Linked DNA regions of Bombyx mori. The protein of the gene in region 2 interacts with the protein of the main gene of each other region in a pairwise test. Links are inferred from orthologs where the notes say so. Each region holds a gene or a part of one and is shown on either strand. Other genes may lie near its edges.

Evidence for each region.
Region 1: the proteins of cyclin-T (region 2) and Cdk9 interact in a two-hybrid assay, tested with the Drosophila melanogaster proteins (2 studies listed by BioGRID). The link is inferred for Bombyx mori from reciprocal best matches to the Drosophila melanogaster genes CycT and Cdk9.

What each region holds. Positions count from the first base shown.
Region 1 is NC_085130.1:9,750,901-9,755,176, forward strand, and holds the start of Cdk9 (cyclin dependent kinase 9), read left to right. Parts: upstream 1-1,476; coding exon 1,477-2,161; intron 2,162-2,705; coding exon 2,706-2,791; intron 2,792-3,340; coding exon 3,341-3,478; intron 3,479-4,093; coding exon 4,094-4,173; intron 4,174-4,276.
Region 2 is NC_085108.1:5,583,888-5,588,023, reverse strand, and holds the start of cyclin-T, read left to right. Parts: upstream 1-1,336; 5' UTR 1,337-1,679; coding exon 1,680-1,828; intron 1,829-4,136. Other genes in the region: KAT8 regulatory NSL complex subunit 2, read right to left, coding at 756-819. UniProt on the Drosophila melanogaster protein: Regulatory subunit of the cyclin-dependent kinase pair (CDK9/cyclin T) complex, also called positive transcription elongation factor B (P-TEFb), which is proposed to facilitate the transition from abortive to production elongation by phosphorylating the CTD (carboxy-terminal domain) of the large subunit of RNA polymerase II (RNAP II).

The sequences.
Region 1 (4,276 bases), on a different chromosome or scaffold from region 2:
AAATACTCGTACTTCAATAAATACATATACATAATAAATATTATCAAAGTCTAATCTAATATTTTCTCTAATACTAATCTAATAACTAATCTCTAATTAATAATATAATACGCCAAAGTTATTCAAATATATTTACAGTAAATTTAAATGGGCGTATAACTAGTGTTCGTATTAGTCCATATAGTTTTATCAGCGGCACACGCAGTGATAGAAAGAATTTATAAAACTTTTTTAAGAAATCACTTTTTGTCGGCCTACTTTAGTAATTCTGTCACGAAGCGCCTAGGTATTAAACTCAATTAAACTCAATTAATGTTTAGTTTATTCAAATTTTAGTATAATATTGCGTTATTTACCTCGAAGCGTCTTTTACTATTGTTGTGAATGTGTAACTTTTTGTAACAAAAACAAAAATCAATTCCGATGACACATTGACGTTTCTCTTTATTCGTTTTCATGTCAACGTTTAAGGGTCATTGACATCAAAACCTATAAACTCACAGTTTACCAATTTTAGATGTCTTACAAGCAATACTTTCGTTTTAGTCGATTTTTTGTATTTTCATTTATTTTAGAAACACTGTAAATTAATTAATTTGTTTTAACAGAAATTGTGGTAACCTGAATAACATTCAAAGAAAAGCAGTACATACCATCTTAATAAAGTTATTTAAAACCATGGATGTTTACTTTATTGTTAAATTAACTTTTTCGTTACAACTTCAGCCAAGTTAAATTGAGTAGATCAATAGGTAGTGTTTTAGTCCAAAATATATGTAATAACCGCTGCCTATTTTACCGTTTAACGCTATGCGAAACCTCATAAATATTTGAAATAGTCACTGGGTATGACTTTTCAAGTTCTTACAAAATTTTCTTTTTCCACTAAATTACGAAGTTTTAATGTGTGTTTCATTTCTAGCCATCCGACAATTGACCAAATCTTCAATGCTGTGGGTCGTGACCTCTATGGGATTTCAGAATCTCTCCGGTGGATTATCTTACGCCATACGTCGATATATTCTCGACGCTATAGATGACCTCAAATACGATAGTGTATTTGCGGTACGGATTTGGTCTGACCAGCGCAGGGGGACCTGCCCATCAACAACATCTAATTTCATTTAATTCCAATCCTCAATTAACTCTACTTCACTTTTTAAGCAACAGATATGGCGGGCATTGGCCTTTGGTACAAAACATTTTGATTTGGGCTCTTTTCTTTGCGTATTCAATAAATAAAAAATAAAAATTGATATTGACAGTTGACGTTTTAATTAGTGTCACAGTCTTCAGTCAGTGTTGCATTTCACTTCTTCCTATTGTGATTTTGCTGATAGGGTATCAATAAATTTCGCCGTTTCCAAGTGAAAACATAATTAATGTGAAATTTTTTAAAAGCTTTGTCTACACTACAATTAAAAATATCATATTCATACTAAAAGTTCGTTGAAAACCGCCAAAATTACGTCCAAAATGCAAAGCGTAAGTGCTCCGCGGGAGCCCACGCAACCAGTTTTAAGCACAACTTCAACTATATTAAACATGAGGGAAAAGGAGAAATACATAGAGGAATTCGACTTTCCCTTCTGCGACGAGTCTTCCAAATACGAAAAAGTAGCTAAAATCGGACAAGGAACATTCGGTGAAGTGTTCAAAGCGCGCGCGAGAAACAGTAGCAAAAAGTTTGTTGCCATGAAAAAAGTCTTAATGGACAATGAAAAAGAGGGTTTCCCGATCACGGCCCTGCGGGAAATAAAGATCTTGCAGCTCTTAAAACACGAAAACGTTGTAAACTTGATAGAAATATGCCGCACGAAGGCTACGGTTCACAATAAATACCGTTCCACTTTCTATTTGGTGTTCGACTTCTGCGAACACGATCTAGCTGGCCTGCTATCGAACGTGAATGTTAAGTTCAGTCTCGGCGAAATAAAAAAAGTCATGCAACAATTACTGAACGGACTTTATTACATACACAGCAACAAAATACTCCACAGAGACATGAAGGCTGCCAATGTACTAATAACAAAGAATGGAACATTAAAACTGGCTGACTTTGGACTTGCTCGAGCATTCAGCGTCGCAAAGTCTGGACAAGCCAATAAATATACTAATCGTGTTGTTACTTTGTGGTATAGGCCTCCAGAATTGCTGTTAGGTGAGTTTTTAAAACATATTATTTATTAATGAACAGTGTTTTTTTATGTAAACCATAATTTCTGGTAATAAGACAAATTGAGCTTGGATGAGTGGGCACCATTATTCTACTAACTCCTGTTGCTAAGTAGTAAGGCCTTGAAGTAAGCTCCCCTCCATGATGTTTCCCGAGAGCCTGTCTGTCGTCATGTCTTTCTTCAAACGAGGCTTGTGGAGAGTACTTCACGGTAGGCAACGGCTTGGCTTTGCTCCTAGTATTGCTGACGTTCATAAGCTACAACCACTCACCATCAGATGAGCCTTCTGCTCATCTGCCTACAAGAACATTTTTTTTTTTATCTAAAGCATCGAAGCAGTCATACATTTTAGTTTAAAGGAGACAAGTGTTATGTTATCTTTCATAGTGGGAGTGATTTTGAATAACTTATAACTAACATTTAATAACATGTAATAGTGAGTTGTCTTTGTCTGCTCATTTAGAAAAATATATGAAAAATGAGCTGTGGTGTGTTGTATCAGCTTTAACATGCCTTATTTAATTAAAGGTGACCGTAACTACGGTCCACCAGTGGACATGTGGGGAGCCGGATGTATCATGGCTGAAATGTGGACTCGCTCCCCGATCATGCAGGTTTGAAACTTTTCAAAGATACCGACCTGATTAAAACTACTTTTACAGTTTAATCTAGTTTTTTTTGCAAATCTAGTCAAAGGAAATAGATGCAGGGCCCTTGCTTAAAAATGCAGTAATAAGTTTTTGTGTTATCTAGTCAAAAATCACTGCTCTTGTAATGGGAAAGCATAAAATACCAAACCCTCTATTGAGTTTATTCAATAATAAACTTGCAATTTTATAATGATCACAAATTATATGCCATAAACCCCAAATTTAATGGAGTATTATTGGATAGACTTATTGGTTCAATGATGTTCATAGATAAAGGTTTACAATGAGTCACAAAATCTACGAATTATTTCTTTTCAAATTGATAAATTTTATTGTAATTGTATATTCTGTAGATATTTATGTTATTATTTTTAGAATATGTATAGAATAGTTTTAGAAATGACAGACTAAGAGGCTGAGGCTCCAGAAAGACAGACGATACACCACAGATCAGCAGTTAAAAAAAAAATTCTTGTCTACCATGGATCTTTGATTAGAAATGTAATATTTCAGGGTCCGACAGAACAGCAGCAGCTGATATTAATATCGCAGCTGTGCGGTTCCTGTACACCTGATGTCTGGCCCGGAGTGGAGAACTTGGATCTTTACAACAAAATGGAGTTGCCAAAGGGTCAAAAGAGGAAAGTCAAGGTGAATATGGAATTTAATCATTGAGATTTTTATATCTATTGGCTTAGTAAGACTGTTTGGTCAGAATCAGGGTACCTATGTACTCAATTGCAGTGTGGAAATAAGACATAATCATTTTTGAAAAAAAAAAAAGTTTTTTTTTTATCTTTGGCCGATAACACACATTCCAAGATGATATTTAAGGTCAAGGCTCAACACACTGCCTCATAAGTCAACATTTCATAGTTCATTACATATTTTCTTACAAAAACAATAAGTATTTTTGCCTACTGTCAACTAGTTATTTTATTTCTGTATCACCGTAGCCACCAAAAGCATTGTCAGCCATTATATAATTGTTATATCGGAATATAGGAGCAAAGAAACGAACATACATAATAACAGCCGGTTTATTATTGCACTGCACACTGCATAACACACACTGCAATAATACTATTGAGACTCAGATCTCATATCTCATGATGGGCGTCGAGAACATTTTGATGTTTGGTCCAGTGGGCATTTAACAATATGTGTACTTATTTTCCCATCTATGCCGCTCTCTCTTCACTGCATACTGTATATATTCATTCCAGCATCTCTTATATACTAATTAAGATTTGTATATAAACACAGGAAAGACTGAAACCATATGTGAAGGATCCCTACGGCTGTGACTTATTGGACAAACTGCTGCAGTTAGATCCTGCCAAGCGGTATGTATAATAGTTTACTTCCAGCTTACAATTTCTACAAGGAATTTATTCTATTAATGTTAATTGTTGATAGACAAGAAACTGGTTTTACCGGTGAAAGGAC
Region 2 (4,136 bases):
AACGGCTGCCCCACCCTTCAAACCGAAACGCATTACTGCTTCACGGCAGAAATAGGCAAGGTGGTGGTACCTACCCGTGCGGACTCACAAGAGGTCCTACCACCATTAATCACGCAAATTAAATTATGCAATACTTAATGCTATGAAATACGTACTTAATACGGCCCTGAGTTTGTTAAATTTTTGTACTATCCCGCATGTACGTATCGCCAAATTAATACTGTTTTTGTTACGTCTTGTTACAATTATTACATAAGTTTGCATATTTTTTTTTGTTGATAAACAAGTCGTCCTAATTGTTAATGAAACGGGTACCGGAAGGAGCCCAGTATATTTTTAACCTACAATAATGTTGATTTACAAAGGAAAAATTCGTAATCACGTAAATAGCAGTGGACAGATTTAGATGATAATTCGTACAAAAATGTTTTTTTTTTATAATCTAGATTTTTAGGAGGGTACCTGCGAAACATGAAAATTTGGATCCCGTGAAATTGGTGCTTAATATTTTATTGTCACAATTTTATTAATGACGTAATCGCAGTGTAAGTCTAAGAAATGATATTAAAAAAATTAACTCCGACAGCCTATACAACTACTGACTTGACTACGATATACTATTTTATACAAAAAATTCTCGTGTTCTAATGAAATGATGTTTATATTTTTTTATAAATCTACATGTTTAATGAACTAAGTAATGAATTGGTTTGTTTGTTTAAATTAGCGCATTTGATTTTTTATTTTTTACTTACGTTCAGAAATCTTGATATTATGAGCGTTCAAGGTGTTTGCATACTCTCTTCCGAATGGAAACATTTTTTTGCTATAATAGCAGCCTGTAATACGTACTTTCTAATGTTTTCTTTAAAAATCATATGAAACCTCTGTAAAAGTTGCGTAATCATCTTAAATTAGAATATTTTAATTACGATTGTTTGTTCGTAGTTATCCACGTAGCGCGAAACTTCGTTCACTAAAGTTAGGTCAGATGTGATTCTTAATAAAAATAAACTAGTTTGCAACAATTTGAAAAAAGTAATGACTAAAACTAATCGTGTTATAAAATAATTTCACTAATTATGAAATGACCGATAATAGTTTAAGTCATCAGGCATTTTAACTCGAATTTAATAGTGAGGTGAATTGTAAACAGTTGTGGGTCGGCCATTTGCACAGTGCGACAGAGTTTTAGGTCCGTAAATTTGAAGTTGATTTTTTTCATTGAAAAGTTAGCAATGCGTTTTAAAAATATGTACAAAAGAAAGAGCTATTCTTATTCTATTAAAAGAAACATAGTGATAAAGTGAAACGTACCTGTGTTTTTTGCAGATCATCAATCTGTCACCGGAGACCTCACTGCGTTAACTACCAAGTTTTACAATGGCGTCAGCTTGAAATTCCTAATCAGAATATCGTGTTGTGATGTATTTTTTTTAAGTAGTTTTCTTGTTGTTTTGTTATTCCATTAATTTTAATATTTTTTTAGTTCATTAATGGTGAATGAAAACAGTGTTTTCTGATAAAATGTTAGGATTTTAATTTATCAATCACTCAAATGTTAACGTGGTCTTTATCCGGTTGCCGCTGTGCTAGCGCTGTCCCTTTCCCACTCACGCACTTAGACGGGGCACTTCTATCCGTCGTGCTTTCTCGCGCGCAGTCCGAACATCCGTTCAATGGCTGGTGGGCAAGAAAAATGGTATTTTACAAAAGAACAGCTACAGAATTCACCAAGCAGAAAATGCGGTTTAGATGCAGATAAAGAGTTAGCTTATCGGCAGCAGGCCGCGAATCTAATACAGGATATGGGACAGAGGCTTCAAGTGTATCCTTTTCGAAAAAGTGTTCGATTACGACCCAATGTTTTTGTCGAGTCATGTGTTTAAAATGTGTATTTTAGTGCTTTGTTGAGTGTTTTCATTAATTAAAATGTCCTCTAATATCGGTAATCAACATTTGTGAAGCGTCAGAATGTGCAGTGATCATGTACAAGAGTTAGAAAAAGTGACGAAATGTCGTGTACATAACGGCGTCATTCACACACTTTCCCTTGCTGGTCTGGGATTTCCCGTGAGTAAAACCATAATATCTAAACTGAAGGATACGCCTATGATTGCGTATTAACGTGAAAATGCCCATAAGTGTTTGTATTTAGGTTAGGGTCACGTATGAAGCGTGGTTTTTTTCGAGGTCAGTGTTCGACAGCTGTCGGGACGCCTGCGCGGTTGACGTAGGACCTGTGTGATCGACCTGTCTGCCCGCTCTAAATTTACCCGCGTACCGGGATAAATAACCTTTCGTGTTTCTTGGAACTTCTCAACGATTCACTTCCGAGCTTATCATGTTTTCCTGGTACTCGTGTAGTTAAACGAGATAAAATATGTATTACTTTTGAAGCACGCGTGACGTACGTGTTGTTTTGTCATTTCCACGAACACGTAGGTTAATGAAAACGTAAATAAACAAAGTGTGAACACACTATGCTGATATGCATTAGGTTGTTGATATCAAGCGAGCCAATGAGAACAGATGCAAAGAAAAAAGTAAATGTATAGAAAGAGGTCATTACTACAAACGAGTATCAATTCATCAATAATGTTTCTAGAATAAAGGATGGAAGGATCTAGAACAAAATATAATCTAAATAAAATAACATGAATTTGAGATGATTTATTCAATGCACTACATAAACAACTGTTTTACATAAATGTGAAATGCAGTTTTGTAATATTTTGCTTAGTGGGAACCTTTCGCTTTTAAATAGACTGAATTCAGACTTATCTGATACTGATAAATATAGGTTTCTATGAAAGATTACAACTGTGCCCATATTATGCTTACATCTCAGTTAAAACATGATCGCTTGGTATATATTATTAGGTAATAAAATCTTGATGCATAATGTTGGCTTAATTCAAGAACTGCTTAAAATCCTGCTGGGAGGTACCGTTTTTTCTAGAAATAAATACTCTACATATTTGACGATGATCTCTACAGTAAAAAAATAATGTCTGGTAATAAAACTCCAAACAATTCTATTTTCTTATATAAGTTTATTTTGGCTGTGAACAGCTATGCACTCTGGTTTGAAGAATAGGCCAGCTATCATACAATGCAGTGAAACCACCTCATATCTAAGTTTGTAGTCGCATTTACATTATAAGATCTGTGGTTTTCCAGTAACCAGTTAACACGGGTTTTTTGTTTTTAGACATCAATAAAGTAAATGCCAAGTATCTTAAGACATGAGTATCAAATGCCAATTATTAGTAGTATAGTGCCATTTGTTTGTTTCATAAAGGATTAATGTATTTAGGAAATTTCTAATTGTTAAGTAATTATTTTTAACATTTAAAATCTTATTTAACTTGAAATTGGATTTCGATCCCTTCAATGAACACGTAACTACTCTAACTCAAAATTTTGAAATTTTCGTTTTTCACCCTAATCGCTTCACTATGCTAAAAGTATTACAATTAATGATTATTGATGGTGTTCAAAGCAAGAGTAAACCAGCTAGTTACACCAAAAAAAAACCATAAATATATCTGCCTATCTATCTAAAAAACCATAAATATATTTAACGGCCGTCTGGTGTAGTGGTAAGTGACATGGTCACTACACAAGGGGGTCGCGGGTTCGAATCCCGCCAAGGGAAGATATTTGTATGATAAATATAAATGTCTTTCCAGGGTTATGGGTGTATATTAAATATATGTATGTGTATAATAAAAATATTATATTTATTTCCGTTATCTGGTAATTGTAACACAAGTTCTTTACGAACTTAGCACGGGACCAGTTAACGTGGCGTGATTGTTAGTAAATATTAGTAAAATATTAGTATTAGTAAACAAATGCAATAATAATATAACAAGTGCAATCGTTCCAATTATAGCTATCTTTTTTATCTGCAATAATAAAGATTTTATTAACTTTTTTCGTTTAAACGCTCCTCCTGTAAATCTATGAATTTGGAGTTAGCGTAGCGTTAATTGGAGGCATCGATTTAATATAGTGTGTAGCACTGTTGCATATGAAATGAATGATTCATTTAAAACAGTAAAATACCTAATTTAACTCCACAAATACACAGAATTCCAATGACTCATTGTCATTAAAAAGTTGTTATG